Linked DNA regions of Astyanax mexicanus. Each later gene encodes a partner of the first gene's protein in a complex. Links are inferred from orthologs where the notes say so. Each region holds a gene or a part of one and is shown in the gene's direction. Other genes may lie near its edges.

Region 1 (8,268 bases):
ACATGACTGTTCCTGTATTTTTTTATTATTTATTTTAATAATGCACACTGCTGCTACCAAAAAAAGCCACTAGATGGCATTATAAATATATCTTAATTAAATTATTAAACATTTGACTCATTGAATCATTAGTGCCTCTAGTGTTGTGCTACAGATCACTTTTATCACTTTGCATCACTTATATCAATCCCGCCTTTTGAAATAAGATATTGTAAATTTGATGAATCAAACCAATGAATGACCATAGACTAATCTAAAACTGGCATAGGCCTCTCTGCTGTAAAAAAAATAAAAAATAAAATCGAAAATCAAATCAAATCGTGACCCTAAAATAAAAATAAAATCGAATCGAGGATTTAAAGAATCGTGACACCCATATCATTTACCTATGCATAAGGGTCCTATTCTATTTGCAATACCTTTCATAGAGACTAGACAAGCTGTGTGTGCGCATTCACAAATCTGTTTCAGCTATAGTAACAACTCAAGCTGCTAGCAGATTTGTTTGTTTTGTTGTCCACAAAAACATGTGGGCATATAATGCTAATCTGCTAACGAAAATAAGATAAAGAGTAATATTTTTCTATAATACTATAATACTAAAACTATAATAATTCGTCTAATTTGGAGGGCTTTGAGTGTTCTTTATAAAAATGAATGCATTTATAAATTCGTATATTCTCTGCATGAAAATCTGAATAAAGATGAAGAGAGTGATGCAATGTTTACAGATTGACTCATAGCTGAATTCGCACATCATTAAAATATTCAAAACGCAGTACTGGCTATTTATTCCCGATAAGGAGGACTTCACTAGTGTGCGACAGCTGTTTTTATGGACAGACGTTCAGTAGTCATTTGTGTTTACAGAGCTGTGAATAGGACGAATCAAACAGCTGGCAGGTTGTACACACAGCTTAAACAGCACAGCTGAACAGAAACAGATTTTTTTATTCAGAAATCATTAATTGGAAACCTATGAGTTTCTTAAGAATGATTCATAAATTCATGGCTAAAAAGAACAAAAAACAAACCAAACAACGACTAGATCCATAATTCCACTGAGAAATACGGTTCTTACTTTGGTCTGCTTCTTCTCAGTAGCATAGACAATAGATGTGCAGCAAACTTCAGATAACTTGCGGCCCTGTCCGTAGAAAGACCAGCAACAGATCTCGTCCCCAATTACATCCTTCATGAACAGTACTCGTCCGTTGTAGCTCAGGGACAGCTTCTCAAAAAGCTCAATGTTCTTAAGCAAGTTATCATCAGAGTTGCTGGCGAATGAATAATAATAAAAAAACAGGTTCAGCGAGGGACAATTAAGAGACATAGTTAAAAATGAGTTAAGAACTCAGATCTCTAGGATTGGCCAAATATTTGAAAGAAAATAAAAATATATATATATTAATTGTTCTAAATGTTAAAAAGATTTTTTTAAAATCTCTATATATCTTAAATACACTGTAATTTGTTTTTTTACATTTTTTCATTTGCATTGAGATACATACATCAAACTGCTTAAAATCTTCTAATTACTCATTTACCTGGTATAGGAATATTTGTTGTTGCTTCGATTGTAGAGCAGCTTCACTACTGGCTGTAAAAAAAATAATAATAATAACATAATTCATATTAAAACCGCAATGAATCAAGGTTTTGTTTGTTAGCCAAATAATATTATTAAAACACAACCTTACCCTTGTACAGCCCTGTATTAATCTCTCTTCTTCCTTTGAGGAGGTAATGACAGGGATAACACACAAAGCCTGTTGCTTATTATCCTGTGATTAAAAAAAAACAATCAAGGACAAGCACACCATTACTGATTACAGAGAGAACAGCTTTATTTATTTTTTTCAGTTTTTGTAACCTGTTTTTAAAACTACTCTGACCCAGTTAAGCTTCACTGACCTGAACGGCTTGCTGACACAAATCTATCAAACCCTGGATATGATAGTACTTGGCCTCTGCCAAAAGCTCCATGATCCCCTGCCTGCTCTTGGGCAAGGTCAGACTTCCATCCCTCAAGTAGCCGAGTATTGACCCGAAGTGCTTCCCACAGCGGTCGATCAAAATCCAACCTGAGGAGAACAAAATCCTTTCAGCCCACGAACAAAAAAAAAAACTGCATTCAAACAAAAAAAATGCATTAGTGCATTGTGATACACTGAGTTGTCAGAGATGACTGCATCCATACTGAAAGATTAGAATCACCCAGAATTTATTGTGATATGTCAATAAAGAAAGCAAATTTTTGAGGAACCAAAACTAAGTTTTTGCAAAATGTTTTTAGTTGTGTGGTCAACGCCTGCAATTAATATGGAAACTTTAACATGTAATGTATTGGGTTATTGCAGTGCTAGTCGTCAGTGGCCCAGTGTTTACCTTCTTTGTCCGTGAAAACCTCGGTCTTGCCACTGAACATGGACTTCAGCAGGCCGTCCTGTCGCGTCAGCACCTGCACAGTTGAGTAGTGCAGAACTCCTCCCACATTGAGTCGCACATATTTGTTTCCCACAGTGCCCTCCTGGCAACACGTCTTGGTCTTGGGGCAGGTCACTGCAGAGACTAACACGGTGGGCGGAACCTGCGGAGGACGCTGGTGCAGGCAGCTCTCTCCCGACATATCCCTCTGGAGGTAGATGACCACCCTGCACACAGTGGGCTTGATGTCCCCCGCCGTGGTGAATGCTGGTGGGGAAGCTGTCAGGACAAGCTCTCGCCACACCTTCACATATCTTTAAAAGAAAAAAAGAAAGAAAGAACAATTTAAATGTCTCATCACATAGCGCAGTAAAGTTTCAGTGTCAGTCATTTGCACAACATATGATATTTGTGCATTGAAATGCTTGTGGTGAAGCTCAAGTTTTTAATTACAGCACGGTTTCACGAAGATATAGAATTAAATATACTAAATAAATAAGAATATATAGGAATAGACTTCATTCGTTTCATTAAAGATTTCATTCAACTTCATTAGAATTCATTAATCGCTATTTTTTTAACAAATAATTCACGCAAATATGGACCCAGACTTTTACTAGTAATATTTATAATGAATTATAGCATTACAATTGTAAGAGAATGTGAAATACCAAATAAATCAATGGCAACATGGGACAAGTCAAAATTACATTAAGGTTTACATTGACTTTGAAAAAAATAAGGGTTCTCTACCAAGATACCACTTCATAATTATGAGATGCTTAGTTAATCATTTTTAAGAAATGCTAAGTCATAATTATAACTATACAATTCTGAGATGTTAATTCATAATTATGAGATACTATGTCATAATGATGACATATTGCGTCGTAATTCTGAGATATTACGCGATATATAGCTATGATATTTTATAAATATCTTATTATGACTTAGTGGAGGACCCTTATATATTTTTCTAAATTACGAAAATTGGCTTCTATACACTGCGGATATAATTCTAAAATAGCTTCTCCAGAGATCTAAATTGTGTTTACATAGCCGGTTAGTTAGCTCGTTAGTTTAACTAAGCTAGCGTTAACATGTTCCACTGGTTCCAACTTTGGATACCGAGCAGCTAGCCTAGCGTTAGCTAACAGGCTAAAACGAGCTTAACTCAGTCAGTAACGTTAGGTATAGCTAACCTAACCTACCGTACAGCTGTTCAGAAACGCCGCGCTCTTTATCCAGCTTCTTTGTCCTCTGGAGGTGATCGATTAGCCGATATATGAGGATGATAATGTACCTGAATCAGGTATTCAGGTAATTTAACACAGAAAACAGAGACTTTTACTGTGAGGTTAGCTTTCTAGCTAATGCTAACTTCTTCTTCTCTCTGGGTTATAGCGGTTTGCAGATCAACTACAGGTGCGTTACCACCACCTACTGGTCTAGAGGCAGTATCGTCGTAAAAAAAAAAGCCTTATAATAATAATAATAATAATAATAATAATAATAATAATAATAATAATAATAATTAAAATTGCCTTATGTAATAACTCTTACATTTCAAAGATATTCGTTTCAGAGTTTAGTAATTTAATTAATTTGTGCTCATTGATTTTACATTGATTTAGCATTGATTCAACGTTCTGGTTTTATATGCATGGTATAAAATTGTATCGCATTAAATGTATATATCCTGTATTCTATTCTTATAGCCTATACTATGGTCTCGCAGTGTAAAGAGTGGAATTTAATATTATTATAAATGTTTCATAAAAGCTTTGTATATAAGTGTATAAAAGCCCCAAACCATGCAAAGCCTTTAAATTCAATGTCAGAACTTCAACATTAACCGATGCCTATTAGGCAATGTTTAATAAAGGTTGTTTAAAGGCTTAATTTTTTTTAAGTGTATTCAATGTACTTATTATTTTGAGAAATTACATATAAAGCCAGAACTTTACCTTTAGCTCAGCTTAACATCGGTCTAATTCTCAGTTTCATCACTGAAAGAAAAATTATTGTTAGTTCTTACAGGTCAAGTGCGGTAATAAAGTTATTGCTAAGATGAGAAAATAAAAAGCACTTTTGACCGGTAAGTTATATAAATATTATTTGCTGTCTCTTCCACAGTGAATTTATTTGGTAATATTGTATAAGCTGTGCGTTTGAACTTGTTCAATTGACTTTTATTTTGAAATATATCTCACCAGTAGCGCATTGAGCTACTGTTTTTAGTTAGCATTTTTTCTAAATGAATTAAAATAATTTATTTTCTACCTGAACGTGTTAATCTACTTTTATATGAGACTTTTCAGATGTAACTCACACTGGGGGGATTTTTCTGTTATGTATCAAGGCCACTTTACTGCACTTTTATCTGCTCTCGAAGGTCAACGCCGTCTGTCAGCGGATACGTCGAAAAACACGAATGACCGCCTTTCAGGCACCACAAGAACCGCGGTTGGTTTTCTCGCTTGTCAATCAAACTATATTTAGCCAATCAGAGGCGTTTGTCCTTTCCACTTACGCCGGGCTACAAGCCGCTAGCATTCAAGATGTCGGCGGTGTCTGTGTTCCCCATGTGTGTCCAGGCGAGCCGGGGCCTCCTCAGGCTCAGGAGCGGAGCCGGGGCCACCGCGGCGCTGGAGGCGGTCAGGACGCTCTCCACTCAGAAGGGGGACAGCGGTGCCACAGGCGGACTGGCCCAGGCCATTCTCCAGGAGAGACTTCAGCAGCAGCAGAGGAGTCAGGTGGGTAGAGGTTAGCTGGAGCTGCTAATGTGCTTTGACGTTTCTTTTGGCAGGTCTGGCTTTCATTATTAAGTCCTCTGTGGTATTAAACAGTTTAAAGGCGCTGCAGAGCTATGAAACATGTCACTTATAATATAGAAATTCTTCAATTTTACAGGAATCAGTTTGAATGGGCTGCTGGTGAGCTCTATAGACATATTGCCAAGGATGTAGCCAGCATTGACTTTCGGTTATCTTACTAACTAACTGTGTATTAATTTGACCTTTATTGAAAGCACTTTTAGGGAGGGATTTTGTCTTTTTTGCGTGTGTTTTGTCGTTTGTAATTTTACCAATGTGCTGGTTTATCAGGTTGTCAGTATTGTCTCTTATCAGTGTGTAGGCATGTGGCCATCTTAAAGAATGCTAGTTAGAGTTAGTTGCATAGTTACTTAGTTAGTTAATTAACTATATTTCAGAATACTAGTCTCTTCTATAAAAACGACCACTTGTAGTAGATTAGATATGTGCCGTTGACTTAAAACCAGCTGATCAGACCTGTCACAATAATTACATTAACAACTTATCGTACAGTAAATGGATATAACCTATAAGTAAGTAATATTTGATAATCTTGATGTCATCTGTTGTGTTCATTTTAGTGGTGTCATTATGCATAGGAGTGTCACAATAATCAAGTAGATTTATTGTATATTGTTGACCTTATAATATAGTGCATTCTTTTTTACTTATTAAGAAGAGCTGGTATGTGGACTTTGCTTACAAACCATGATTTGTTTTTATTTATTTACTTTGGATGAAATTTTTGTCATTTATTTTATATTTTCAATAGTTTAAACTTCTGCTTTTTCAAAATAATTAATGCATTCATTTCCTGTGCTACTGAATTATTATAATACCAGTGGCATTAAAAAATAATTTTATCAATTAAGTCTGTACAAATTGATTATCATTATTATCATGACAGATTTACTTATGCATTGTCTTGTTGAACAAACTAATGGTTCTTAGTTAAATTGTGATTAGTGTAAGGATTCCCTATATAAGAGGGAGTCAGGTAACTGTAAAAATTAAAAAAAAAAAATAGAGTGATGCTTCATGTTCTAATGTTTTGATTATTCCCTCTCAGGGCCAGCCTCCTCCTGAGGGGGAGGAGAGTTCTGAGCAGAGGGGAGATGAGCAAGGCGAGGACAGGAAGCAGAAAGAAAACACAGCATATGCTAAGAAGGTGGTCCTTCGCTTAGCAGGACTTATGGGTCTTGGCGGCGCAGTCGGTGTTGTGTACATATTCGGTGAGTTAATCCTCTGGGACTGTTCTGGGATGAGGACTCCAGCATTTTACTCTAATAGGCTTTAAAGGATTTTCACAGAAGGATTTTGGATTATTTGAAGTGTTGTCTTTGGGCTTGTGGACAAGGTGTGTAAATATATGGAGTTTTAAAAAAAAAAATCAAATGTTTATTTCATTGCTATAGTGTGTTCTAGTATTTAAAACACATTTTACTATTATAGTTTTATAATTAGTTATATTGGTTGAATAGATGCTTAAAAATATTCTTGTTGCTTTGTTTCAACTTTAATTCATGCACTATGCAGTGCTACTTCACAGGGTGAATCTGTCATCAGCAGAAAGTGGTGGCACAGTCAGATTTATTTGTTCGTTTTTTTTTGTACAGAATTGTTTTGCCAATTTTTGGAATATAGTTTTTGCAAAATAGCCTTAAATATGGTGATATTTTTTGGCCATGTGGGCCATCAGGGTATAACTCTTTTTTGCTTTTGCTGTTTGTAACAAAAAGGAAAAATTGCACTGTGCTCATTTCACATTTAAAAAAAATGTTGCAGTAGTGTATTCTTGAAATTATATATTTTTTATTCAATGTTCTCATATTGCCAATAATATTGTTGTAACAAAAAAACCCTGAAATGTTGTGCTGATCTTTTTCTTTCTATGTTTAAATCAATCAAACTGACATTTGTGACATTGTTCTTAAATATAGCATAGTGTTTATTTTTGTTCTTGTTGTGCTTTATGATAATTGAAACACAAAAATTAGATGTTTGGGACATCTTAACATTGATTTTTTTTTATCATCAAGGTTATTGGCTGTTTAGTCTTGTTTAATTTTGTTGGAGACGTATATATTAGAGCATTTATGTGAGTTTTTGATTGCATTTAGTGCTTGCGGAGTGTTAGTGAAGTCACAATGTTGGTACTAGGTTATAATTCTGTTCTCCCTCGCTGGCCATTAGGGCATGGTGTCATCAGGCCCTGTTTTATTCACAAGTGTTTGGCAGGTTTTACATGACTAAGTAAAATGTGAAATATAAAATTGAAAAAGTGTCAATAACTAAGCCATAAAGTATTTTCAGAAAGTCTTAATATGTTTTCCTTACTTCTACAGGTAGCAATTCTGTGGATGAACAAGGAAATAAGGTACGTACACTCTACATAAAACATAGTCAGGATTCACGTCCTTGTTCCAACATTACAGATTTTTGACAGGCATTGAGGTGTGAAGGCAGTTAGAAGTCCTCTACAGTCCTGTGTGGCAGGTAGTGCTGTCAGGCTTTGGAGGCACACTTCCTCACCTATTCTTGTCTCCCCAGGCGCCTCTCTGATACCCCCCCTTGGTGTAACTGCAGACTGTTAAAATTTACAGGTGATGTGAGCAGACGGCACACTCCTCAGGTCTTTGTAAATGATGCTGCATGTCTAAGAGCACACTTCTCACGCTTCAAAAGGACACACTTCACAAGAAAGTGCAGTCTCGCGAGTAGACGACTGGAGTGTGCCGGGGCTGTAGGTGTGTGATCTCGTACCCCCCCCCACTCCCCCCCCCCCTCCCGCCACTATACGGTAGCACTCTGTTACGCTAATTGGAGGGCTCAAGGGTCGTTGTGAAAGGGTTGCACATCCTGTTCTAAGTTGAATTGCTTTCCCGCAAGAATAGCCTTGTGGGAAAACTGTGAGAAGTTTGTTAAAGAAAATGCCAGGATAATTTTATGAACTTCTCAGAGTTTATTAAAGGAGGATGCAGAGATAATTTATGGAGAAAATAGCTGCCTAATATTTTAAAGAGTG
Region 2 (7,703 bases), on another chromosome or scaffold:
ATATCTTAAAGATTAAAGGGCCTTACTTCACTCTTGATCATGTGTAGTTTGATACTCAGCAGTACAGAATGATGGATGATGAATGGCTGATGAATCGTTCTGGTAATGATAAACACAGTGTCAGACCAATCCTAATAAAGCTCTGCAGCGCTAACACAGTGTACTAAAACTGTTCCCTGGCTACAGGAAAACAAATGATCTCATGCTCTGCTATAAACACAGAGGTTTTTCTTTTATCAACAGAACTAAAAATAACATTAAGAGTAATGTAAGTGAACTAAAAATGTTTTGTGTTTAGGGTTGGCAGAAAAAAAAATCAGTGTTTACAGGTATTTTCTGGTTTCCTATTTATTTTTATTTTTTGCATATACAGCTCTGGAAAAAAAATCTAGAGATTACTTAAAAATTTGGAGTTTCTTTGATTTTACCAAATCAAAAACCTTGAATATAATCAAGAGGAAGATGGATGATCAGAAGCCATCAAACCAAGATTAACTGCTTGAATTTTTGCACCAGGAGTGGCATAAAGTTATCCAAAAGCAGTATGTAAGACTGGTGGAGGAGAACATGACAAGATGAATGAAAACTGTGATAAAAACAGGCTTATTCCACCAAATATTGATTTCTGAACTCTTAAAACTTTATGAATATGAACTTGTTTTCTTTGCATTATTTGAGGTCTTAAAGCTCTGCATCTTTATTGTTTCTGAAACAAATACCTATAAATAACGAAATCAGAGAAACTGATTCAGATTTTTTCAGAGCTACATATTTTGGCAGTTTAGCTATATATTCTGGCAATGTATTTGACAGTGATATAACACAATTACGGTAATGAAAACTGTGCTGCTTTCTATCTGTATAGAATATTTCTGATTATATTGTAGTTTTGTTAAAATTAATTATTGATAATTGATAAAAACAAATAGTTTATGTATTCCATTTACACAGATGTTTATCATAAACATTTTTTTTTTGTATATTAAAATAATTGTATGATTTTCCAGAGACGCAAAAAGGTAAAATACTGTAAATTTAACTGGGCAAAGCTTGTAAGCCAGATACTGCAATTTCAATATATTGTCACTTTTAGTTTTAAAACTAAAAAAATACAATGTGATTGCTTAAATACCACATTCTGAAGGATATAATAATAATATGTTTTATAGTTGCTTGTTATAGAGACATTATATCCTCACTGCATGTCTTTACAGTAAAGGCAAATTCCAAACATCACTATTCATAATAGCATTTACATCATCACACCTGCTAAACGAGCAACTGTCCACGTATTTGTGAGCGTATACACTGGGACAGTGGTGTCTTAGCCACTCAAGAACCAGGTTATTGTAGGCAGAGTTCGATACCCAGTTTCAACACTGATAGGCCCTCAAGCAAGGTTGGATGTCATGCAGTGATGTCATACCTCATACCGTACCGAGAAACAGCAAGAGCTGTGTCAAGAACAACATCACATCTTAAGATGTTTCTCCGAACTTGGAGTCCTGCTGGAGTTCTGCTGGACTGTATTGAGGGGTGTTGTGTGCAGCGGCAGGCTCGTTTATACTTCCTCTGCCCTGTCTTGCCCTCTGCACCCATGAAATGCCCATATTTGGTCATTCTGAATGGAGACGCAGTCCTCACCTCATTCCTTTCTCCTTCCTAATAACTGGAAGATAGCCAACATTCTGTCCAACTACAAACAGCGACCACAGAGAAAGAGAGAGTAATGGAGGTACATGACTAGTCTTTCACTAATACACTAGTTAACAGGACAGAGAGAGATTTCTGAGCATGTCTCAGAGCAAAAATACAATAAAGTCATATTGTAGCTGGGCCTGGAGAGCCTGTACACTTATAGGCTGCGAAAGCTGGCATGCAGGTCAAGGAAGTGTTGCAATCTGGTTGTGGCCTTCCTGAAGTACCCTTGCTGTGTGTGGGTAGACATTATCCTGCTGAAAAATGCCCTGCCATGAGGAACAACATGACATGTGTCCTGCACATATTGCTGAGCTGTCTTTGTATCACTACTAGGGGTAACCGACTGACTGTCGTATGAGGTCATTTTAAACCTAGTCAATATGGTTCTGTTGCATAACAGTCCAGGTTTCTTGTTTACAAAATCACCGCAAACACAAAAAGGTGATGATGGCTGGCTCATGTAAGGCCTTGATGGTGAGAATTTGTCAAAATGACCATTTTGCTTCTCTCAGTCTAGGAATACGCCCCTCTTAAAGTCTGTCAACTGGGCAAAATGTGTTTGAATGTGCTCTAGAGACACATCAATAAATAATCTCTCACCGAAAGAGATAGACTACCCAAATGTAGCCTCTGAAAACCTTTTTTATATAAGGCAGCGGGGGGGGGGACACTTTTACATCCTCTTCTAGCAAGATGTGTCTAATCTGACCACACCGTAATCGTTTGTATATCTGCCTGAGATAAATCTGCTTGCAGAGTTTTGCAGCTATCCGGGCATGTTATTTTTTTCTTTAATGAATTTTTACTGTTTTTTTTTTTTACTGTTTTTTTTTATAGAATTTGAACCAATATAGAGTACACTACACTGGGCATGATACACGACACAACCAGATTGCTGGCGCCACACGCCAAAATGCGTTTGACTGACATTACCGACAAAAATAAGATGTCGAACATAGTGGTGCATGAGCTTGCTGCAGTGGTTTTGTTGTGCTGCTATACATGCAGAAGCAAACAAACACAAAAACATAAAAACAGTGTTGGGTAACGTTTACTAAGCTTAATAAGGAAATAGAAAATTGTGTAAAACGTCATTATTTCTTTTTTTCAAAAAAACATTATTTTTTTATTGTTCTACTTTTTCATTTCTACCTTTCAAAATAAGAAAACCAGAAAAAAAATTCAGTCCAAAAATGGATGGTATGATCCATTTAGTTTTAGATTTAAAAATAAGGGATATTTTCCTCCGTCCGCTTAAAGCTGTCCCACCAGCCCAACGAAGGTTCAGTATCCCTTACATTTTAAGACAGGTTTACAAGAAATATAAAATAACCACATGTCAACCACTTACAGACTACAGTTAGATTATCAGAATCTGATAGGCCTACCTTTGTTGACACTGAAATGTTGTGGACATTCCTACATATGTCATTCTTTTAATACAGCCAAATTAAAAACCCTTTTCTAGATATATAAAAAAAAGATTCCATGCCTTTTTTGGCATAAATGCACTCTTTTATATGATATATTTTCTATTTATTTAATGGATTTAAAATTGAACAAAGGGTGCACAAATTCTGCAAAATGACTGTTGGTGACCTAAAAATAGTATTATGAGCTTTTACTAAAAGGACATGGACCAGATATATTCCATCAGTAAAAATGAGTCCTAATGGGGTCTACACAATTAATACTTTTTAATTAATACTTCTTTCTTTTGATCACTCCACCCCTGGTCAGTTCAGTTCATTTCGGTCCTCTCCACATTTCTAGTTAAGTCACAAGCCGTAATTTTTGAATTTTTAAAAGGTTTAATTTGTGTTTTTATTCAGAGACGAGTATTTTCAAGCAGCTATCAGAAAAATCTCATCACAGTTTATATGACTAGCCTACCGTTACCTTTCTTTTACAAAAATCTCCGTATATCCATATATGTTTTAACATCAGCTGCTCCGACTAGCTGCCTGAACTCACAGCGGGGGGCGGGGCGTCTTCCCCACACTGACCCTACTTTGCGCTACGCAAAACCAGCAAGCTGATTGGTTGTTTCTCCTGAAAGGCGGGACTTTCTCCTTGAACCGGCACCACGATTGGTTAAGAGACACAGAGCGGTCAGTGCCGTCTCCTCAATAATAAAGTTTTTTTAATTTTATCATAATACGGGAAATTTACGGGAAAAAGGTATGTATAATCAAACCAATTAATGTTACAAAATGCAAGAATGGAAAATTAAATAACCTACTAAAGATTCAGTTTTTCTGAAACTCTGATTGTGAGGGGCAGATATTAAAAAACTATTTAAGTTTTACACCCTGTTTTATATTTTACAATTTAGTTCTCACAGTAAGAAAGTTCAACAGATAAAGTTTACACTGACCTGTGTGTGTGTGCAACCAGTTGTAGGTACTTAACCTACTGTAAAACTAATCAGTAACAGGTGAACTGGGTGAAATGCTCCTGTAGATATTTTTTTTTACACATTTATATTTAGATAATATTATATATTATCTTAAACACCTTATCTTATATAATATCATATTAAACAGAAGGGGGGCTCACTGGCTGCAGTTCCCCCTCACGCCGCCAGGTGGCCCGTTGTCGTAACCGGAACCTGCTGATCTGACGTCAACCTTGAACTGTCTTTTGTCCGGTGACGTCATTCGGAGCAGTAACAGAACAAGATGGAGGAGTACGCGAGAGAACCGTGGTAAGCCGGCCTGGCCGAATTTTACTTATTTTTATAATTTATTAATGTTCAGATCAGCGCGGTTTAGTGTTTTTAGTGGAGATTAGCGCGCTGTAACGGGGAGTCTGAGGGGAGCGCGTGCTGTCAGGGTTTGGGTTAGACCGGGTCCAGCGGGAAGGTCTAAAGCACGCGGCCGGAGAGCTCGAGCTGACAGGCGGGGTGACCTTGCTCTGAGAGCGGCGGAGCGGGGGACTCGCGGGCACACTCATAACACAGCTACAAACTAACTACATAACCACGAGACTGAGCTAATTTTATATCACCGATTTAACTAAAATAATCCAGACAGAGCTGAAATATTAACTTAAACTCTGAGTGATCTGACATGCTCCACAGATTAATGAGGTTTATACCTCAGAGGTGATTTATTTTAACTAGTTACGTTATCTAGCTTCGCTAAATTAACTATAGTTAGTTAACGCTAGCTTACTAACCTAGTTAACCTGGTTACCATAGTAACCGCTGCGCTAAATTGTGTAATTTGTTTGGTATGGTTAGCTAACCGCTAGCGTTAGTTTCCCCACAGAAGTAACCTAGTTTGTTTAGTAACCTAACTAGCCTTTTCTCCTCTAATTAGTAAACCGTGCATAATTTAACCCATAGATATTTTAAAACATGAACAAAAACAAACATACTAGGGGTTAAAATGTAATAATTAAATTTGTTTTCATAATTAAATACTTTAACCCCTTAACAGGCCAGGATTTTTGTCAATATTCTGCCTGACATTACACCCCTAAATCTTGAGGATTTCTATTCAAGCATTACATAAAAAGCTTTCATGTTTGATAAGGAATGTTACTGTAGCCCGTATGCAGTTCAATGCATGTTAATAGGTTAAACAATGAAGCAACGTTGCCTCTCTAATTATGGCATGATTTTTCCCTCAGACAACCAACCAACTTTTGGTTATTAGTTAACTAACTACATTCCATTCCATTCCATAACATATCTTATTTTTATGTAACAGCTATTTATTTTATTTTCAATTTAATGTTAGAAGGCATATCTACACCCATACTACTAACCTAGTTAACCTGGTTAGTTTCCATAGTAACCGCTGCACTGAGTTTTGTAATTTGTTTGGTTAGGTTAGCTAACGGCTAGCTTTAGTTTCCCACAAAAGTAGTTTAGTAGCTTTTTCTCCAGTAATTAGTAAACAGTACAAAATTGAACCCATATATATTTCAAAACATGTACAGAAACAAACATACTAGGGGTTAAAGTGTAAAAATTAAACTAGATGTTTTCATAATTAAAGACTTTAAACAATGAAGCAACCCCTCTAATTATGGCGTAATATTGCCCTCAGATAACAAACCAACTTTAGGTTATTAGCTAGTTACCTAGTTATACCATTCCATTCCATACAATACTTTACTCTTTATGTATTTAGCTATTTATTTTATTTTTAATTCAATGTTAGAAGGCGTATCACACTACAATGTGGTGTACAACAGGGTCATATATACAATATGCTTATGTGCAATCTAGGACTGTAGTAGTGATTTTCATATTTTACACTTTTGGGGGCTGCTTAAAATTTTGCAAAAGAAAGAAGTATAAAAATGTATAAAATGTAGGGATCATTGAAACGTTTTGACAAATAAAAAAAAGAAAAGGATTATGTCTAAAAGACTAAGTTAAAGGACAATCCCAAAACAAATTAGCTAGCCAGTTACAGTTTTTACAACATTACAAAGACCTTACAAACCGAACATTGGTTGTCAATATCTTTCCTAAACCAATGTAAAAAAAACCTGTGTAACTGTTTACCTGTACTAATGCTACTACCTGTGTGAATGTAATATGACAAAAAAACTCATTGGATTTAGTTTGATTTAGTAATGCAGTGTAGTATTGTTATTTTTTTCTTTTTATCTTTTTTTTTCTGTTAACATTTACCAACATGATCTACATACAGTATGCTGTTAGTTATCTGATAGTTGTGTCTGTATTTTCTGTGTTTTTTTTCTTATTTAGTCCCTGGAGGATAGTAGATGACTGTGGCGGTGCATTCACAATGGGAGCTATAGGTGGAGGAATCTTCCAGGCTGTTAAAGGTTTCAGAAACTCACCTGCTGTAAGTCCTCTGGTTTTGTATGATTAAATCACATTATAGTAATGTGCAATGGTTTTGCTCCTTTGGTTATGAGTGAATGGTTATAAAGGTTAGCAACCACTTGCATCATTTTCTAGCACCATCTAAGGCTGGATGGCCTGTGTAGCTCCTCCTTTATGCAAAACCAAAACAAAAGTGATATACTTAAGATTCAAATGGTTTTTAAGTATTTAAAATGTAAATTAAACATTTTCATTTATGCTTTTTGGAATGTAAGGTGGGGACATATGTTAATATAAATTTTAAACAAACAAAGCCATTGGTAGGTACTTCTTTATTAAGGAAATTCTGGAGTGTATTTTTTGGTTAAGGTGGGTGTTTGAGTCACATGTTGGGTTCTTCATAAGGTTCACCTTGGAACTTATCCTGAGCTCCCAGTGTCCTTTGGACAAGGTCAAAGTGTCTGATGCTGAGCTCTGTTAGTTGAATAGGAGATGATGGACTGCTTACACTTTTATCTGTCTCTCTGTTTTAGGGAATAAATCACAGACTGAAGGGCAGCATGACTGCCATCAGAACCAGAGCTCCACAGCTAGGAGGTGAGAATGGGTTCATAGTGCACTGATTGATTGTTTGATTAGGTTGGTAATCAAAAAAATATACTGAATGTTTTGATGATTAATGTGGCAATTGTTTATTTTTTTAAATAACCAATCTGATAAATGTTTATTCAACCAAATCCAATCATTGATCCAGTGAGCCTAACAGTGTTGGGCAACTCTAATGTTGCTTTTTTGAACACCTGTTTCTTGTTAATCTTTGGCCATGTTTCTTTTTTCTTTCAATAAAACATTTTAGGATTGTAAGTTTATTAGCGATTATGGTCTTAAAATTCAAACCTAAATGTTTTCTGCGTACTACAGGAAGTTTTGCCGTCTGGGGCGGACTCTTCTCGATGATCGACTGTGGGCTGGTGAAAGTTCGGGGGAAAGAGGATCCCTGGAACTCGATAACAAGTGGAGCCATGACTGGAGCTATCCTCGCTGCCAGAAGTGAGTGAAAATTTGGGCCTGTGTTTCAGATTCTTACATTATTTTTCATTCCTTAATTCATTGTGTTGGGGAGCTTGGAGTAGCCTACCTAAATCCCATGAACGCCAAATGCTGCGAGACTCATACTCTCTTTATGTGGTAG
Region 3 (7,915 bases), on another chromosome or scaffold:
TAGTAGGTCATTAATGGTATGGCTAATCAGTCTATACAATCAGTATATACATGCAAAAATGTTTAGGTTTATACCAGCCATGTATTAAGAAACCCTGCCTGTTATGCACTACTCGATCACATTGTACACATTTAGAATTCATTGCCAGTCCTGAATGAACAGGAAGAGCATTTTCTCATACTGTCTGTGGTAATGCATCGACTCGGTTACATGAAGTCTATGTTTTCATGTCTGTTGTAGTCACAGTGTAAAATGTGCTCTGTCTGTGTGTCTTTGCTCACACTACATTATGTTGCATTGTCTCCATCATGTAGACTTCTTGAAAATAGTGCAGTCCTGGATCAGTACGAACGAGCTTCAGAGAAATATGAAAACATGGACCGGAGATTTACAGCAGCATGATGGCACGGACACTGTAGTCACAGGCATAGGGCCTACAGAACACACTGCAGATGTAAATGGACACAGTAGCAGAGAAAAAAAAGAGACTTTTAGATTGAAATTGCTTGAAATATCTAAAACTTGAATTTTGGACGAGCATTATTTAATCCATTTGCCCTTTTTTTAATTATTCAGGCCGTTGGTTGACATTGGACAAACACACTGTATTAACTGTTATTTTACTTCCATTATAAGAATAAGTGTAAACAGAACTTTCCTGTTGCATGCATTTGTTATTCTTCCATAAAAATATGTTTTTTTGTTGTTGTTCTTTTTGTTGTTTTTACACCGGATAAACAGTGTTGACACAGATTATTTACAGCCATATCTATAGTCTACATATATTTACCTCAGGCCAAGAGAAACATTTTTGTCTTTTTGCATGTCTTATGTCTATTTGTCATTTCGTTTAACAATTGATCATACTAAGTTAAATCCAAGGCATTGTGAACTAAACTAAACCCCCCTTAGAAGGCAAATTACTGCACTAACATATGCATGCTTAAATATTTAAAAAAGATAAAATATGTGTGGCTAAGTTCATTTTAAAAATGTTTTAATTAAATTAATTAATTTTGCTGTATAATCTATTTAAAGTGCAGGTGCAAAACACACTCATAAACTTTTGCTACATTTTGGTGGCACATAATATTTGTACACAAATTTTTGTAGCTGTTTGAAAGCTGGACCACCTTTAACACAGTTTATGTATGCATTAAGAAAATAATAAACTTTGACAAGAGCCCCTTTCATGTTTTCTTATGCCGGCTGAGCCTAAATCCTAAAGCGTTAGTTGGTGTCCCTGAACTGGGATTAATATGATGTCATTGGCATGTTGTGAAATAAAATAATTAAATAGCAAACAAATTTGTATAAATTGGACTGATGATACTGTGATGATTGTCTTTTCCAATTCCAAGGACAGATCATATGCACACTGCCTCTGCTACTAACAGGTAATGCTAATACCATTCTGTGATTCAGTGATGCATTAGAATTCCTGTACACATATACACACACACACACATATATATTGTTGCTAGTGATGTATGGTACCAGTCAAATGCTTGGACACACCTACTTATAGAACCATTTTTGTTTTCTTATTTTAACTTGTTAGTTCCAGCATTTTATCAAAAACATGAACATGAGTTTTATTTGTGTGTGTTCTGATTTTTCATATTTTACATATAAGCTAAAAATATATAAACACCAAAATTATGTGAATTCCAAATGTCATGGAACAGCAGTACATAATTTGATAAAGTGTTACCTCCGGGAACAGCTTGGGACCACCCACAATTTAGTAATAATATGTGAGGTGTTGTGTTATCAGTGAGGATGAAATTTGGCCAGGGTGCTCATGGCAATGCGGAGTAAATTTTAGAGTCAGAGTGGCATGCCTTAGACTCGATTGGTTTATCAAAGTGAGGGCTCTTGTCCTAAAAACTATATATTTGCAAACTATTATCATTGTTTAAATGTCTGTACTGCTGTATATTCCTAAAACCAGAATTTGTACTATTTATTTGGATCTTAACCTTTAGAGCACTAAATAGCTCAGCTAAATAGGGAATGGAAGCTAATTGTTACCAGTTTGTATGATGTCATTTGCAAATTCTTAATGATGACTTTTCACTTTCATCATTTCATTGTTATCAACAACATTGGCATTAGACCTATCCCTTTAAATATATGTAGCCTATAGCCAGATATCTGGAACCATGTTTTCTATTTTTCTTGTTCAAAAATGTGCACTGCAGAGCGTAAAGAAGGACATGCTTGTCTTCAGGGTTGCCCTAATAGTGTTTTTTTACTTTTTCAACAGGCAGATGCATCACTGCCCTGCGTCTTTCCATGTTTGACAGCTTAAGGGACTAACTCGTAACATCCTCCTACAGACAGGACTGTCAGATTCAGCGAATATTAAGTGGGGCAGCGTCTGCTTCTCATCTGATTGCCTAGGGCCTCTTGGCTTTTGGTGGACGACACTAACTTGTGTTCCTACATTGACTTTAACCTGCTCAGCCACTGAACAGCATTGTGGTGCCTAGAGAGTAGACAGACATAAGTCTACATCTCCTGACTGCAAACTGAAATCCAGGGGCGGATTGGGATGTTTGGGGGTGGGGATACTGTACTGGGAATAGGATGGGGATGTTGGTTTGTTTTTTATTCATTTTCCATTGTTTTAATTTTTATCCATTGTGTGGGATATGAAACAAATGTAATTATTTTTTCTCTTTTGTGACCTTTAAGAAAAGAATCTAAAGCTAAAATGTGAATCTAAACTTTACTGAATGTCAATGCAAATTTGTTCCTTTTCCTAAAGTAGACTTGAGCTGCACAGGCCACTGGAGTCGTGTTGTCATTTTGTAGTCAGTGCCCACATTATAAACTCTATGTAGATTCCTCTCTCACATAATTAATTTCCTAGGTTTTGGAAAATTGTGACTTTTGTGGTAAACACACACATTTTAAACCCTACAGAATTTTTTCTATGTGTATTTTTTATTAAATGCCCCTGTATCCTCTGAATTATACACGTTTTGCTAGTTACAGACTAAGCCTAACACTGCAACACACTGAAAAGACTTGTTTCACCAAAATACTCCAAACAAACCAGCCAGCTTTATCAAATAAAGAGAGTTAAATGTCTCTGGTAGCGATAGAGTTTGAATAAAAATGTATATTTTACTGTAGTAAGCTCAAAAAGTAGTTGTTGACATAAGCACTGTGCCATGTCAGTGTGCAGGAACGTTAGCTTAGCTGTAAGCATAGATGTAGCATTAATCAGTCATTTGTTTTGACCCATTAGATGTAGCAAATGAGGATCCAGAGACATTTAGGGGGGAAACCTTAAAAAACCTTAAACCTCATTCATTTGTGTCCAAAAGAAATTCACCTCAGCCCTGGAGTTTATAATATGGGCTAACTAGCTACAGAATTGACACAAATCATCTGCGGTCTACTGTTATTATTATCACCTGATAAACAGATATCAGTTATTTGACCTGATTTTCTGTGATCTGTTTTTCAATTTCCTAACCTCTGCCCGCTAAGTGCACATTCACTAAAAATTAATTATTAGATTCAGATTTGACCAAAATCTTTAGAAACTGGTCAGCAGGTCTTGTCTATGCATATTTGAATAGAAAGAAATGTTACTACAATCATATATAAGCTGCAAGGTATTGATCAATGGTATGAAAGTAGATCACACATCTTTTTTTTTCCATATAAAACATGAAATGTCTGTATGTTCAAAACCTGCTCATTTGCCAGAAGGTCTACTTGGGTCAGCATTAGGTGAATCATAGACAAAATGTTTTTTAATAAAAGACATGAATAATTCTGTCAAAATTCTTGTTTCAACACTGATTATTAGTATTTTTGAATGTTTTCTTTTTTTTTAATACAGCAAAAGTGAAAACAGAATTATATTTGTTTTTATTTTACGTAAATTGCTTATTTGAGACCAAGAACCAAGAATGTTATGGTTAGTTATTTGTTAGTCATTTTCTCTTATGCATTTGTTTGGATTTAGCATTTTTCTGTTTTTGGTTTTTATTATTAAATACGTTGAAAGACAATACACTCAGCACACATGACTGCACCATGTGAAATATGAGGAGATTCAGGAGAATACAAATAAAACTCATAAACTCCAAAAACATAGAATGGATAGGGAAAACAAAAATTTTATTAAATAACACATATATTCCATAGGATTTCAGAAACCCTGTGTTTTTAATCTTAAAACCTAATCTCAGCCATAAGCAAAGAGTACATTTATTTCGTTTAACTTGCATTTATGCATTAAAAAATTAACTAAAATTAATTAAATATTTAATACAACATAACTACATTTTCCATATATTTGTCTATTTTGGAGAGATAGCAAATAACATTCTTAAGAAAGATTGTTAATATTTAGTTCACAGAAAGAACAAATATTTCCAGACAATGATGTTTAGTTTCTTTTGTAGTTTTAGCGACGTTTGAACAGAGTTTATTATGGAAGTCAAAACACTACAACTCCCATGATCCTCAGCTACAAGAAATGCTGTGAACTCGCCAGACGTCAAGACAAAGTTCATTATAAAAAAAATAAAAGTACCCCAACATTTAAAGATAAAGTGTTTTAATAAGGAGAAATATGGCCTGTATTTATAAAAGTGACGATGTTTGTAATAAAGTCCACATTTACTCATAAGTGTAGATTTATAAACAGGTTTATTTTGCTAATCACGCTGTTATTATCGGAGAGGACTTTTATTTTGAAGGGGGGATTAGCTAGCTGGCGCCAGTGAGGCTATGGCAGGCTGTTCCAGTCATGAGTGAGGAGTGAGATTGTTGTGTTGTTGAGTTTTCTGGGGTCACGGTCAGTTTGACCATTTTCAGTCTTTGAAAGAGAAGCTGCTTATTTCACTGCAGCTTAAAGTGTAGCCTTACCGATTAAATAACAAGCTGGCTAGTGCTATGTATCTCCCAGACCTGTGCAGTGTTTAGCCAGGCTATCTTTTCTAGCTAGCTATCAGTTAAATACAGTGAACCACAGCAGCAGGTTAACTCAGTTACCTTACTGGTTCTTAACCTCGGTTATAATGGTTTATTCACTCCTGTTGAGAAGTGGCAGGACTTCACACTGTGTACAGCACTTACTGAAGCGTGTAAACATCCCCCCATCTCTACAGGTGTCACCTCTGCAGGTGAATAACCCTGTTTTAATCCAGGTAAAGTTCAATAACTTGCCCTTAACTCGGTGGACATGCCTGCCTCGCTGTGTTGGTGTTCAGACTCGAGGTTTCCACGCTGGAGGTCAGTGCAGAAATGCGAGTGACCCTGAGGGACAGGGCAGGGGTCGAGATCAGGTATCAGTCCACAAGAGCCAGGCCTCCTCTGGAGTCTCAGCTGCACAGAAAGGTGGGTTCAGGGGGTGTGTTACAGCTCATTACAGCGATTTTATGCAGAAACTTTAGTGTGACTTTAAATGTGCTGTGCTCTGGGGTTGTCTCCCTCCTACAGTCAAACAAGCTGGCAAAGATTTTACCTATCTGATAGTGGTGCTCATTGGTCTTGGAGTTACAGGTAAGATAAAGCTCTAAATTATTCTTTATTTTATGGATGCTTATTTCCAGTAGACAGGCTTTCTCTTATTTATTTATTTGCATATATATATATATATATATATATATATATATATATATATATATATATACACACACGCAGTGGAATATAAAGTATTTGCCCCTCTGATACCTTTCTGATATTTTTTTATAATTATCAAACCGATCTTAATATTAAAAGCACTTTTTAAATTATTTTTTTTCTTTTAATAAATAAAACAATCTTGCCCTGTGTGAAAAAATATTTGCAGTGCTTCCCTTGGTGGCAACAACTGCAATTAAACTTTACTGATAACTGGCAATAAGTCTTTTTCATCTCTGTGGAGAAATTTTCGTCCACTTTTCTTTGCGGAATTGTTTTAATTCAGCCCCATCTGAGCTTTTTTTTAGCATGAACGGCCTGTTTAAGATCACGTTGCAGCATCTCAGTCAGACTTTGACTAGGCCACTCCAAAACCTTCTTTTTTTAAGCCATTCAGAGCCTTTCAGCCTTAACCAATGCCTATTAAATGTTAAATAAAGGTTGTTTTAAGGTTGGTTTTCCATCATCAACCTACTAGGTCACAGTCAAAAGAATACGTAAATAAATAAATAAAAAAAAACCTGGCAACGATAGAAAGGGGCACAAAAGATTGTAATACATAGGTTTTATCGCTGGTTATTTCAGGATTTATGATTCTAAAATTATTCACCTGTTTTTTGCAGGTGGACTTCTTTATGTCATCTTTCAAGAACTGTTTTCATCATCCAGTCCAAGCAAACTCTATGGGAAAGCTTTTGAAAAATGCAGATCACACCCAGAGGTCTAATTTGCTAATTTGGAGAATGTCATTATAAAACTACACTATTTTTTATTAACTTATTTATTTCATGAATACATAAAATTTTCTTCTTACTTTAGGTAATTGGAGCTTTTGGTGAGCCCATCAAAGGCTATGGTGAGACCACTCGCCGGGGTAGGAGACAACAAGTTAGGTATGATGCAATAGCAAAATAATAGTAGACAAAATAATTAATATTTAAGAGAGTTGAGTTATAAACCATACAGTTTAATTTTTTATATATTTGACTTAACTCCCTTAATGTTCTCATAGCCATATTGAATACGTGAAGGATGGCCAGCAGCACATGAGGCTGAAATTTTACATTGAGGGTTCAGAGCCAGGACTGCACGGAACTGTACATTCAGAGGCAAAGCAGGTGAAATTCAAAATTCTTGTTTACAGTGTACACTAATGTGTTTCATTGCTGGAATTTATCAGTTTAATCAGATGAGATTTCTAATATAAAGATGTTTCTGGATGTTTGTCATTCCACAGAATCCTGAGACGGGGAGATATGAATTCCGCTACATATTTGTGGATATAGACGCCTATCCCAGGAGGACAATCGTGATTGAAGATAACAGATGAGATGGTTTTTCAGTGAATCCTGAACAGATAGAAACCTCTTCAAGCTCCCAGTGGAACTCTTACGGTGAACTTGTTTGTATAAAGCTAGGTTTATGTGTAGGGTAATGATTTCAAAATGGCAGTATTTCAAATAAGCATTAGGGGGAGTTCAGGTTTTCTTGCCTTCAGATGTCATATCCTGGTCATTTTTGTGAATACAATTATATCTATGTACACTGTAGGACCTGAATCATTTTTAAAGATTTTTAATTAACTCAAATTCTATGCATTTACACCGGGCATCCACATTGCTTACTCTCAGGTCAGTGGTCAGTTTGACTGCCATTAAATGGGCCCATTTACTACTGCCACATTTCATTCATATGTCATTCTGGGTAATTTCATTCACTATATTAAAGTAACTGCTTCCAGATAAGCAAAGAAAATGAACTCACTCACATGCTTGCAAACTGCCTTATTTGCACTGGTCCTTGGCCAGCTTCAAATAATACATATTAAGATCTGTTTTACTTCATGGATGTGAGCATTGATTTGCCATTCAGTAATATTGTTTTATTACAATAATAAGAAATAATGGCCATATTTGAATTTTGATTGCCAAGAAATAAAGCTTTTGTGAAGCAGGGTGCTTTAAAAATGCCAAGAAACAATTATTTTCTAACTTTTTGTAAACAAAAAAATAAATAATAATTATACATTAAAGATCAGATGATATGTTGGGGATGATCTTATTTGAATTGGCCTGGTTTCAACTTTCACTTAGCCGAGTGTCATAATGTTGGAATCATGGTGTTTGTTTGAAAAGGAATTTTGAATGCACTTAATGTGTTACTGTCTGTATTGAGAGCAGATTAAAGATGAAAGCAAAATTTTGATTTTTTTTTTTCTTGACTGATGTTGAATGACATTGATTAGCTTGCGTACAGATGAAAA
Region 4 (7,621 bases), on another chromosome or scaffold:
AGCGCAGCAGGGTCATTGGGAGACAACCAGGACACCAAGTCTGTCTCTACGTTCCAGTAGTATGGGAGACCACTGAAAACAAACACAAGGGACGTTTGTGTCATTAAATATTTATAAAGCAATGATATAGGGGGGAAAATAATTTTATTTTATTCTTCCATATTTCTGTTATATCATCAGGCTCATTATGGTGTATACATGAATAACACACTAATCCAATCACAGCAAGTTTCATTACATAATCTGTTGTTATTGTCCAATCTAGCCCATTTAAAACTCTGGCAAAAGATTTAAATGAGGTGTCACATAAAACACATATATGAAGTCAATATATGGAACTAAGAAGATGCAATCCAGATAATTTGAATGAATGTTTTTTGTGTTATTTTTTATGTAATGTAGTACACAAGGGTTCTAGCATTGCAACGAGATTAAAACATAGTGCAATACAGGAAGCACTTACCAGGTAGGGTCCAGTACTTTGTACCAGTTGGTGGGTAAATTTTCAACCCTTGTAGCTTCATAGTCTACATTGTTGTCGTCATAGTCTTCAGCAATGATTTCCTCTTCATTGTCTTAAGAACAACAACATATCCAATCAGTCATAAGCAAAACATACATTGTATATTGACTACATTAAGAAGTACAGCTGACTATGTACTGTAAGCTGACATCTTACCATGTTCTGACTGCTTTAGGATTCCTCTCTTGGCCAGACGAGCCAGAAGAGCTGGTGGCAGAGGCATCTGGGGAGAAGAAAAATGGAGAGATATTTTGCATATTAATAACATGAAATTGTTAATTGTTGGTAAATTTATCTAGATTTTAGTAAGACACTCTAGAGAGATGAGGAAATCGCACAAAGATGCTCGTTATTATACATATGACTGTATATCCTGAAGATGTGAAAACATAAAAAAACAATTGCTGATGGGTGCGGATGTGTGGGCACAACCTGTTTGCAATATGTTTTATAGCTTTTTACAAGTAATGAAAGCTTGGCTTTCTTATGCCTGCTCATTACACCAATCAAAAAACAATAACTTTGTATTTTAGACAAGAACATAAAGCAACCAGATAAAAAAAAAAACATTAGTTGACTTACATGCCAACAACTGCATTTACAAATGGGGTGAACACATCCACCCAGATCTAGTCAATTTAAACTACAGACCAAACCCTAAAATCAGAATAGACGATACAGCACCACTCTCTAAAAAATAAAGATGTGTCTTAAAGCAGTAGTTCTCAACCCTGGTTCTGGTGTACCACTGTCCAGCATGTTGTAGTGTTTAGATGCTGCTTTAGTAGCAGAATTGGACTAAGCATAAATATTTTTAACTTACATTTATTTTGTTTGATTAGAGCTGAAAAATATATTGATATTTTTTCATACTGATAAGGATTAATTTCCTTCCTTCAATCAACTATATCATCATTGCTTAAAAAGCACTGACCCAAATGTACATTTATTGACAGAGTGTAAAAAAATTCTATTTCATTTTAGAATTTATAGAAATCACAGTATTCTACATAAAAAAGTATTTGAACAGTTAAAACACAATGCATACAGTTAATCAAATGATTATCTTTAAATACTGTGATATAATATTTTGCCATGTTATACAGATCTATTAGTATGTGATTACATACACCAAGGCTGGCTTTTACACTGTTCATAAAGATATTGGTATTAATTTAGAACTGGGCAAAAAAAGTTTTCGTTTATTTTGCACCATGGTCTTGGAATAACATTAAAAACAAATCACAGAGTTGGTTTTCTTGAGTGAGCTTAAATCCTTTCTGTGATGAATTCTGTGATAAGTAAAAAAATGTCTGTGATGGAAACATGCAATGGCTACTCTGACATGCCTGTTTTGTGCTTTCATGTTGGTTTTGTGTTTATTCTAAATGTAAATAAATGTTGTAATGTTCTGTAACTAGTGCTTCGACAGTGTCGATTATTTAAATGTGTCGACTACAAATTTCATTTTTGACTAATCGTTAATTTGTAACAGTACCGCATTACACAAAGTGGTGACAGAAACACAATGGGAGATGGTAAATGGCTCACTCATACAGTTTACACTCAATTTAGTATGTGTCTCCAAAAGTGCTCAAACACAACAGGTTACATATTTAATCACTACATATCAGTAGTTTACACGTTTAAACAACTTCTAGGCATTTAAATTGCTTTATAATTCTCATGTTCTATCGTTTTAGAGATGGGGGATCTGGCAGAAATAATCATTGAGTAATCGACTAGTCGAAAAAATAATCATCAGATTAGTCAACTACCAAAATATTCATTATTTGCAGCCCTATCTGTAATTGGAAATGGTGTGCCGTCCTGGCCAGATCTCCCTTGAAAAATAGATTTTTATCTCAAGGGACCTCCTGGTTAAAAAAATTAAGTAAATAAAAAAATATCGTATTGACCGAAATTAAGAATTATATCGTAATATTTTTTTTGCCATATCGTCCAGCACTATGTTTGGTCCTGACTCTTAGCAACTAAACCAGTGTTGTGGTCTGTGGCACTCTTAATTTATTTCTACTTCTTAGGACAGCTGTAACATTTGGTTGTATTATTGATGATCATTAAGGTGCTGTTTGCAGAGTAAAAACAAAACACGAGTTACAGCAAAACTAGTTACCCAGCACTTTCATTCAGCCCTCAGACTTAACGCTAGCTTAGCTAAATAGCATAGCACGTTACCCCAGCGTACTCAGACTCCTATTTAAACCATTATCTGCTGTATTTCAGCTAGATATCCATGCAAACCAGTGTCACAGCAGGCAATACAGTCTGCAGCATCTGTAAATAATCCACATTGATAAATTGAGAGAACCGCTGGTTTATTTACCTTAATAACAGCCGCGCGCTGCTAACTTTTCATTCACAGCAGCTACCAGCTTCAGTCGGCGCAGAAAAATGACGTCACGCTCCTCCCCCTTGTGGTCCCAGTGGGATTTAAGTGTTTTTGCTTGTTATAGAGAGCTATGGACAAGCATATAGAATAAATGAAATAAATAAATTACGTTAAATTAATTATAATAAAATTATACAGCTTATCGAGTGTCCGCTCCAGTCAAACAAGGAGTTTGATATGGTCCAATGAAATTAACAGTCCTTGGCGTTTCTGTTGAGACAGCCAATCACAGCACGGGATTACTTGTAGCGATCCTCCAACCGCAAGCAAAATGTAATAAAAGTACTTTATTTTAAATAATAAAAAAAACGACAAGAATGAAGATTCAGAATTATTTTAACCATTTCTCTTTCTTGACGTAATTTTGTACCTGGTACTTGGACCAATGCAAATGCTGCAAAATGACTTGAATAAACGAACCTGTTTTACGTCATCTTATACTTTGTGGCAATTTGGGCACCACAGGTTGGTGTTTTTATTCTCTACAGAAAACACAACCTCCAGGCATTTAATTGATTGTGAGAGTGGATGTTGAATAGCGTTTTATGTGTTACTAATGAGGAGTTGTTACTTTTTTGTGAGATTTACCTGAGAATTTGTGAATATATATAACATTTGGATTTGTAAGTGTTTTAGCCATTGTACTAATAAAGTGCAGTTAAAAGTATCTTTCTATCTTTCTCATGATACCCACTCTGTATGTCTGTCTATCTCTCTCTTTCTCTCTCTCTCTCCCTCCCACTTAGTCCAGTTCAGTTTAATAGTGATTTATTAGCATAAATGTAAAAAGAAACACTATTGCCAAAGCATATGACAGAAAACACATAAAAGCAAAATAATAATAATAATAATAATAATAATTACATACATGTATACAATTACAACAACTGGAGCTATTTACAGGCGTAAGCATTATTATTATTAATTATAATTGACAAGAAAAGGAAAATAAGGGTGAAAAGACTATAAATACGTAATAATAAGGAATAAATCAGTGATTTCGGTAAATTAGTTATAATAATTTTGTGTTTTTGTCCACACTGGTTTTCCCTCAGTGAGTGATCAGCTCCTTACTCCCTCTATCTCATGATACCCACTTTGTCTATCTGTCTCTGTTTCTCTCTCCATACCCATTCTAATTATTTTACGTTGTCTTTCTCTAGCACTCATTTGGCCACCAATGGTCAGTGTATTTATTTCTCTACAGAAAACATTTGTGCATTGACATAATGTATACTAAGTGTAACTGTACAATAACTTTGTATTGTGTGTTTATTTTCTTAATTAAAAAATGAGAAATACCTGGTGTAGGTACAAATACTGACATTTTAAATATTTTTTAATTTAGTTTATATACATTTAATGTACAAAGTTGGCATGTGTGCCTTATATTTTTTGTACTAGAAATGCAGACTCTCTTCTCTCTGGGGTGGAAAATCATTGCTAATCCTGTCCATCAGGTGGCGCTGAAACCCCGGCGGGCGGCTGCGTCACGGCGCCGAGGTCAGCGGCTGATCATGGAGGAGTATGCCCGTGAACCCTGGTAAAGTACAACTTCTGAGACAGCTTCTCTCTTTAACTAAACCACCGGTAAACAGAGCCGCTCTGACTCCGCTCAGAGGAGCATTTCCCCCGCCTGTGTGTGACTGTGTGTCGGCTCTGTTTCCTGTAGTTCCTGCAGTGAGTGTATGTGTGTGTTTGTGTGTGTGTGTGAGTGCAGTACAGCGCTCGGTTAGCGGGGCTGGCTAACAGCATAAACACCTCCTCCTCCTCCTCCTCAGGGTCGGGCTGCGAGTCTTACATCAGTGGAGCTATACACACACACACGAATATACAAATACTCACAGATACTACACATGCAGGAGGACCTCTTAGCCAGTAACAGCGTTTAATTACCACAGTAACGCACATTTAAATTCCTTAATAAGTAAAAGTAAAGTAAAGTAAAAATACAGGGAATTTTAGATTATATTGTCTGTTTTGTTATTTCTTAATTTGTCTTAGTTCTCCCGGTGTTTTCTCTTTGTCCTCCATAATTTTCCCAGTTTTCTGACACCATGTATGCTTACTCGTCTTACTTTACCACTCTTTATTTTATTAGTTTTTTTCTCATCTTTTTTTCTCACGGTTTTTACAGTTTTACTATTTCTCTGCATCTGTTTACTTCTCGCTTTCTGACCTTTACTTTCTCTGTTTGTCTATACCACCCGCTTCCCTGTTTCTTTTATTATACATAATTTAATCTCTCTGTCTCTCTCTTTCTCTCCCTTTCAGTCTCTCTGTCTGTATCCTTCTTTCAGTCTCTTTTAGTCTCATTGTCTTCTTCCCTTTCTCTCTCTTTCAGTGTCTTTGTCTCTTTCTTTTAGTCTATCTCTCTTTCTTTCAGTCTCTCTCCCTTTCTCTTTCAGCCTACCTCTCTTTCAGTCTCTCTCTCTCTGCATCCCTCTTTTTCTCTCTCTTTCAGTCTCTCTTTTTCTGTGTCTCCCTCTTTCTCCCTTTTGCAGTCTCTCTCTCTCTCTCTCTCTCTCTCTCTCTTTTTCTCAAAATACCCACTCTGTCTCTATTTCTATGTAATACCCTCTCTCATTCTCACGATTATACCCACCACTTACTCTATAATCTGTTTTTCTCACTCTGCTCTGCCCATTCTGTCTGGCTCTCTTTTTTCTCTCTCTTTCTGTTTTCTTTTTGTCTTTCCAAGATTCAACATTTAAAGTCGTTTTTTTCTTGCCTAACTGTAACTGTTTCTGTCAATGTTTGTCAGAAAATTAACAGAAAAAGAACAACAGTAATTATTAATATTTATTAGAGGTGTGCCAAAAAATCGATTCACATAAGAATCTTGATTCTCATTTACTACGATTCAGAATCGATTTAAAATGTCCCAAAATCGATTCTGAGGGGCGGGTTTTGGACTGATTTTGGGCTGGGTATTTTTGTTGGACCTGGCAACCCGCTTGTCCCTTCAAACCGAGGTCTTCCAGACCCACACAGAGCGTAGTAGGTGTTTGAGAATCACCGGTAAGATGGCAGAACAAGCACTATATTACTTTAGATTAACGTGTAGTTTTAATGTTTTATGGCAGAATGCTTCATAACAAGCATAAAAAAGATCGCTAGTAGTTAGTTTCAGTAACTGTTAGCTAGCTAACAAGCTAACTTTCCAGTTCCACCTTAAATAACGCTACAGGTGGCTGCGGGCTGCAGCATTTAAGGCGGAACGGAAAAATAACAATAAGCTAATCAGAGCTAATTTCAGCTCCTCATCACAGAGGAATTAAGGAATGGACAATATGAATTAATTTCTCCACCTCCTGCCCCCTTTCTGAAGAAATACAACGACCTTAAATTAACTAGTTAATCAGCAGCTGCTCCTGAACTTTAGCGCTCCACTGCTATCATCACATCAGCCCAGCAGCGTCACCTACACACCACCGCTAGTAGCCTGGTAATAAAGCAGTGTTATTTATTATTTATTTATTGTTCATTAACGTCATTGTGATATCCCAGTGATTCCTCTGTCACTGAGGACCCACATTCCTGCACATTTTATTGTTTTTGTAACACATTACTTGCTCCAGGACCAGTGTATATTATGGAGGGGTTTTTTTTTCAATAAGATTCATAAGCCAGAAGCAGAAATTTTTATAATTCAAATCGTTTTGAATCAAAAATCGATTTTGAATCGAATCGTGGCCCCCAAAATCGGAATCGAATCGAATCGTGAGATAGTAATCGATTCCCACCCCTAATATTTATAGACAACAGTCAGGTATGGTCTCTAAGGTGGTGACCCACTATAATAATACCCACTCTATCTGTCTATCTGTCTTCCTCTGTTTGTCTGTCTTATCTACCTGTCTTTCTCTGTTTCGTGATACCTCATGATCTTTTTTTCGTTATGTGTCTTTTTATCTCTTTATTTGCTCTCTCAGTCCTTGGAGAATAGTAGATGACTGCGGAGGTGCATTCACGATGGGGGCCATCGGTGGGGGGGTGTTTCAGTCCATCAAAGGCTTCAGGAATGCGCCTGTGGTGGGTGTTTCAGTGCCTAAATAATGACCTGATTTCATGCTGATTGTGAATTCTTTTGATTCTGATTAATCTCTCTCTCTCAGGGCGTACGACACCGGCTGAAAGGCAGTGCGAACGCTGTGAGAATTAGAGCACCGCAGATCGGTGGTAAGTTTTTCTGTTGTCCTGATTCTTGCTCTATTCTTCTCCTGCCTCTTTGTTCTCCTTCTGTTACAGTGAGAGACAAGCACAGACTGACCTGGATTCCCTGAGAGTATCAGTATTTTTACTGGGCTTGTGCTTCAGCCAAAAAAGATCAGGTTCCTAATAGTAAACAAGTGCTGTCAGGTATCAGTGTTACAGATATGATTATATTTGCTGCTTCATTCATTCACTCTCTGTTGGCATATGAGACTAAAACAGGTTCCTAACGACACTTATCAGGGCAGAAACTAAATGCTGCAGCTCCTCCTACTTTCTTGGCTGGTTAAAGGGGTGTTTTCATTGAATATCACAGCTTCATTTGACATAAAAATATACTAAATAATAAAAAACAATATAAAATCCTATTAAAAAAATATATGGTCCACACTCCAGTCTATACTGTCAGAGATGTGCAAATATATATGCTGTGTTTCTTAGTTACTGTGGTCAGACACTCACACATTGAA

What was found.
Region 2: timm50 (region 1) and timm17a share a complex: the UniProt entries of both Homo sapiens proteins name them as parts of the TIM23 complex. The link is inferred for Astyanax mexicanus from reciprocal best matches to the Homo sapiens genes TIMM50 and TIMM17A.
Region 3: timm50 (region 1) and timm21 share a complex: the UniProt entries of both Homo sapiens proteins name them as parts of the TIM23 complex. The link is inferred for Astyanax mexicanus from reciprocal best matches to the Homo sapiens genes TIMM50 and TIMM21.
Region 4: timm50 (region 1) and timm17b share a complex: the UniProt entries of both Homo sapiens proteins name them as parts of the TIM23 complex. The link is inferred for Astyanax mexicanus from reciprocal best matches to the Homo sapiens genes TIMM50 and TIMM17B.

The regions. Positions count from the first base shown.
Region 1 is NC_064425.1:17,464,115-17,472,382, reverse strand, and holds the start of timm50 (mitochondrial import inner membrane translocase subunit TIM50), read left to right. Parts: upstream 1-4,946; 5' UTR 4,947-4,988; coding exon 4,989-5,183; intron 5,184-6,312; coding exon 6,313-6,475; intron 6,476-7,588; coding exon 7,589-7,620; intron 7,621-8,268. Other genes in the region: tnfaip1 (BTB/POZ domain-containing adapter for CUL3-mediated RhoA degradation protein 2), read right to left, coding at 1,082-1,277, 1,548-1,600, 1,701-1,784, 1,915-2,084, 2,389-2,629. UniProt on the Homo sapiens protein: Essential component of the TIM23 complex, a complex that mediates the translocation of transit peptide-containing proteins across the mitochondrial inner membrane. Has some phosphatase activity in vitro; however such activity may not be relevant in vivo.
Region 2 is NC_064431.1:17,484,495-17,492,197, reverse strand, and holds the start of timm17a (mitochondrial import inner membrane translocase subunit Tim17-A), read left to right. Parts: upstream 1-4,620; 5' UTR 4,621-4,772; coding exon 4,773-4,807; intron 4,808-6,430; coding exon 6,431-6,530; intron 6,531-7,044; coding exon 7,045-7,108; intron 7,109-7,432; coding exon 7,433-7,561; intron 7,562-7,703. UniProt on the Homo sapiens protein: Essential component of the TIM23 complex, a complex that mediates the translocation of transit peptide-containing proteins across the mitochondrial inner membrane.
Region 3 is NC_064408.1:91,587,874-91,595,788, forward strand, and holds timm21 (mitochondrial import inner membrane translocase subunit Tim21-like), read left to right. Parts: upstream 1-4,721; 5' UTR 4,722-5,048; coding exon 5,049-5,367; intron 5,368-5,469; coding exon 5,470-5,532; intron 5,533-6,275; coding exon 6,276-6,373; intron 6,374-6,471; coding exon 6,472-6,545; intron 6,546-6,664; coding exon 6,665-6,770; intron 6,771-6,889; coding exon 6,890-6,982; 3' UTR 6,983-7,577; downstream 7,578-7,915. UniProt on the Homo sapiens protein: Participates in the translocation of transit peptide-containing proteins across the mitochondrial inner membrane.
Region 4 is NC_064419.1:20,725,464-20,733,084, forward strand, and holds the start of timm17b (mitochondrial import inner membrane translocase subunit Tim17-B), read left to right. Parts: upstream 1-4,402; 5' UTR 4,403-4,453; coding exon 4,454-4,479; intron 4,480-6,871; coding exon 6,872-6,971; intron 6,972-7,054; coding exon 7,055-7,118; intron 7,119-7,621. Other genes in the region: pqbp1 (polyglutamine-binding protein 1), read right to left, coding at 1-72, 464-575, 680-746. UniProt on the Homo sapiens protein: Essential component of the TIM23 complex, a complex that mediates the translocation of transit peptide-containing proteins across the mitochondrial inner membrane.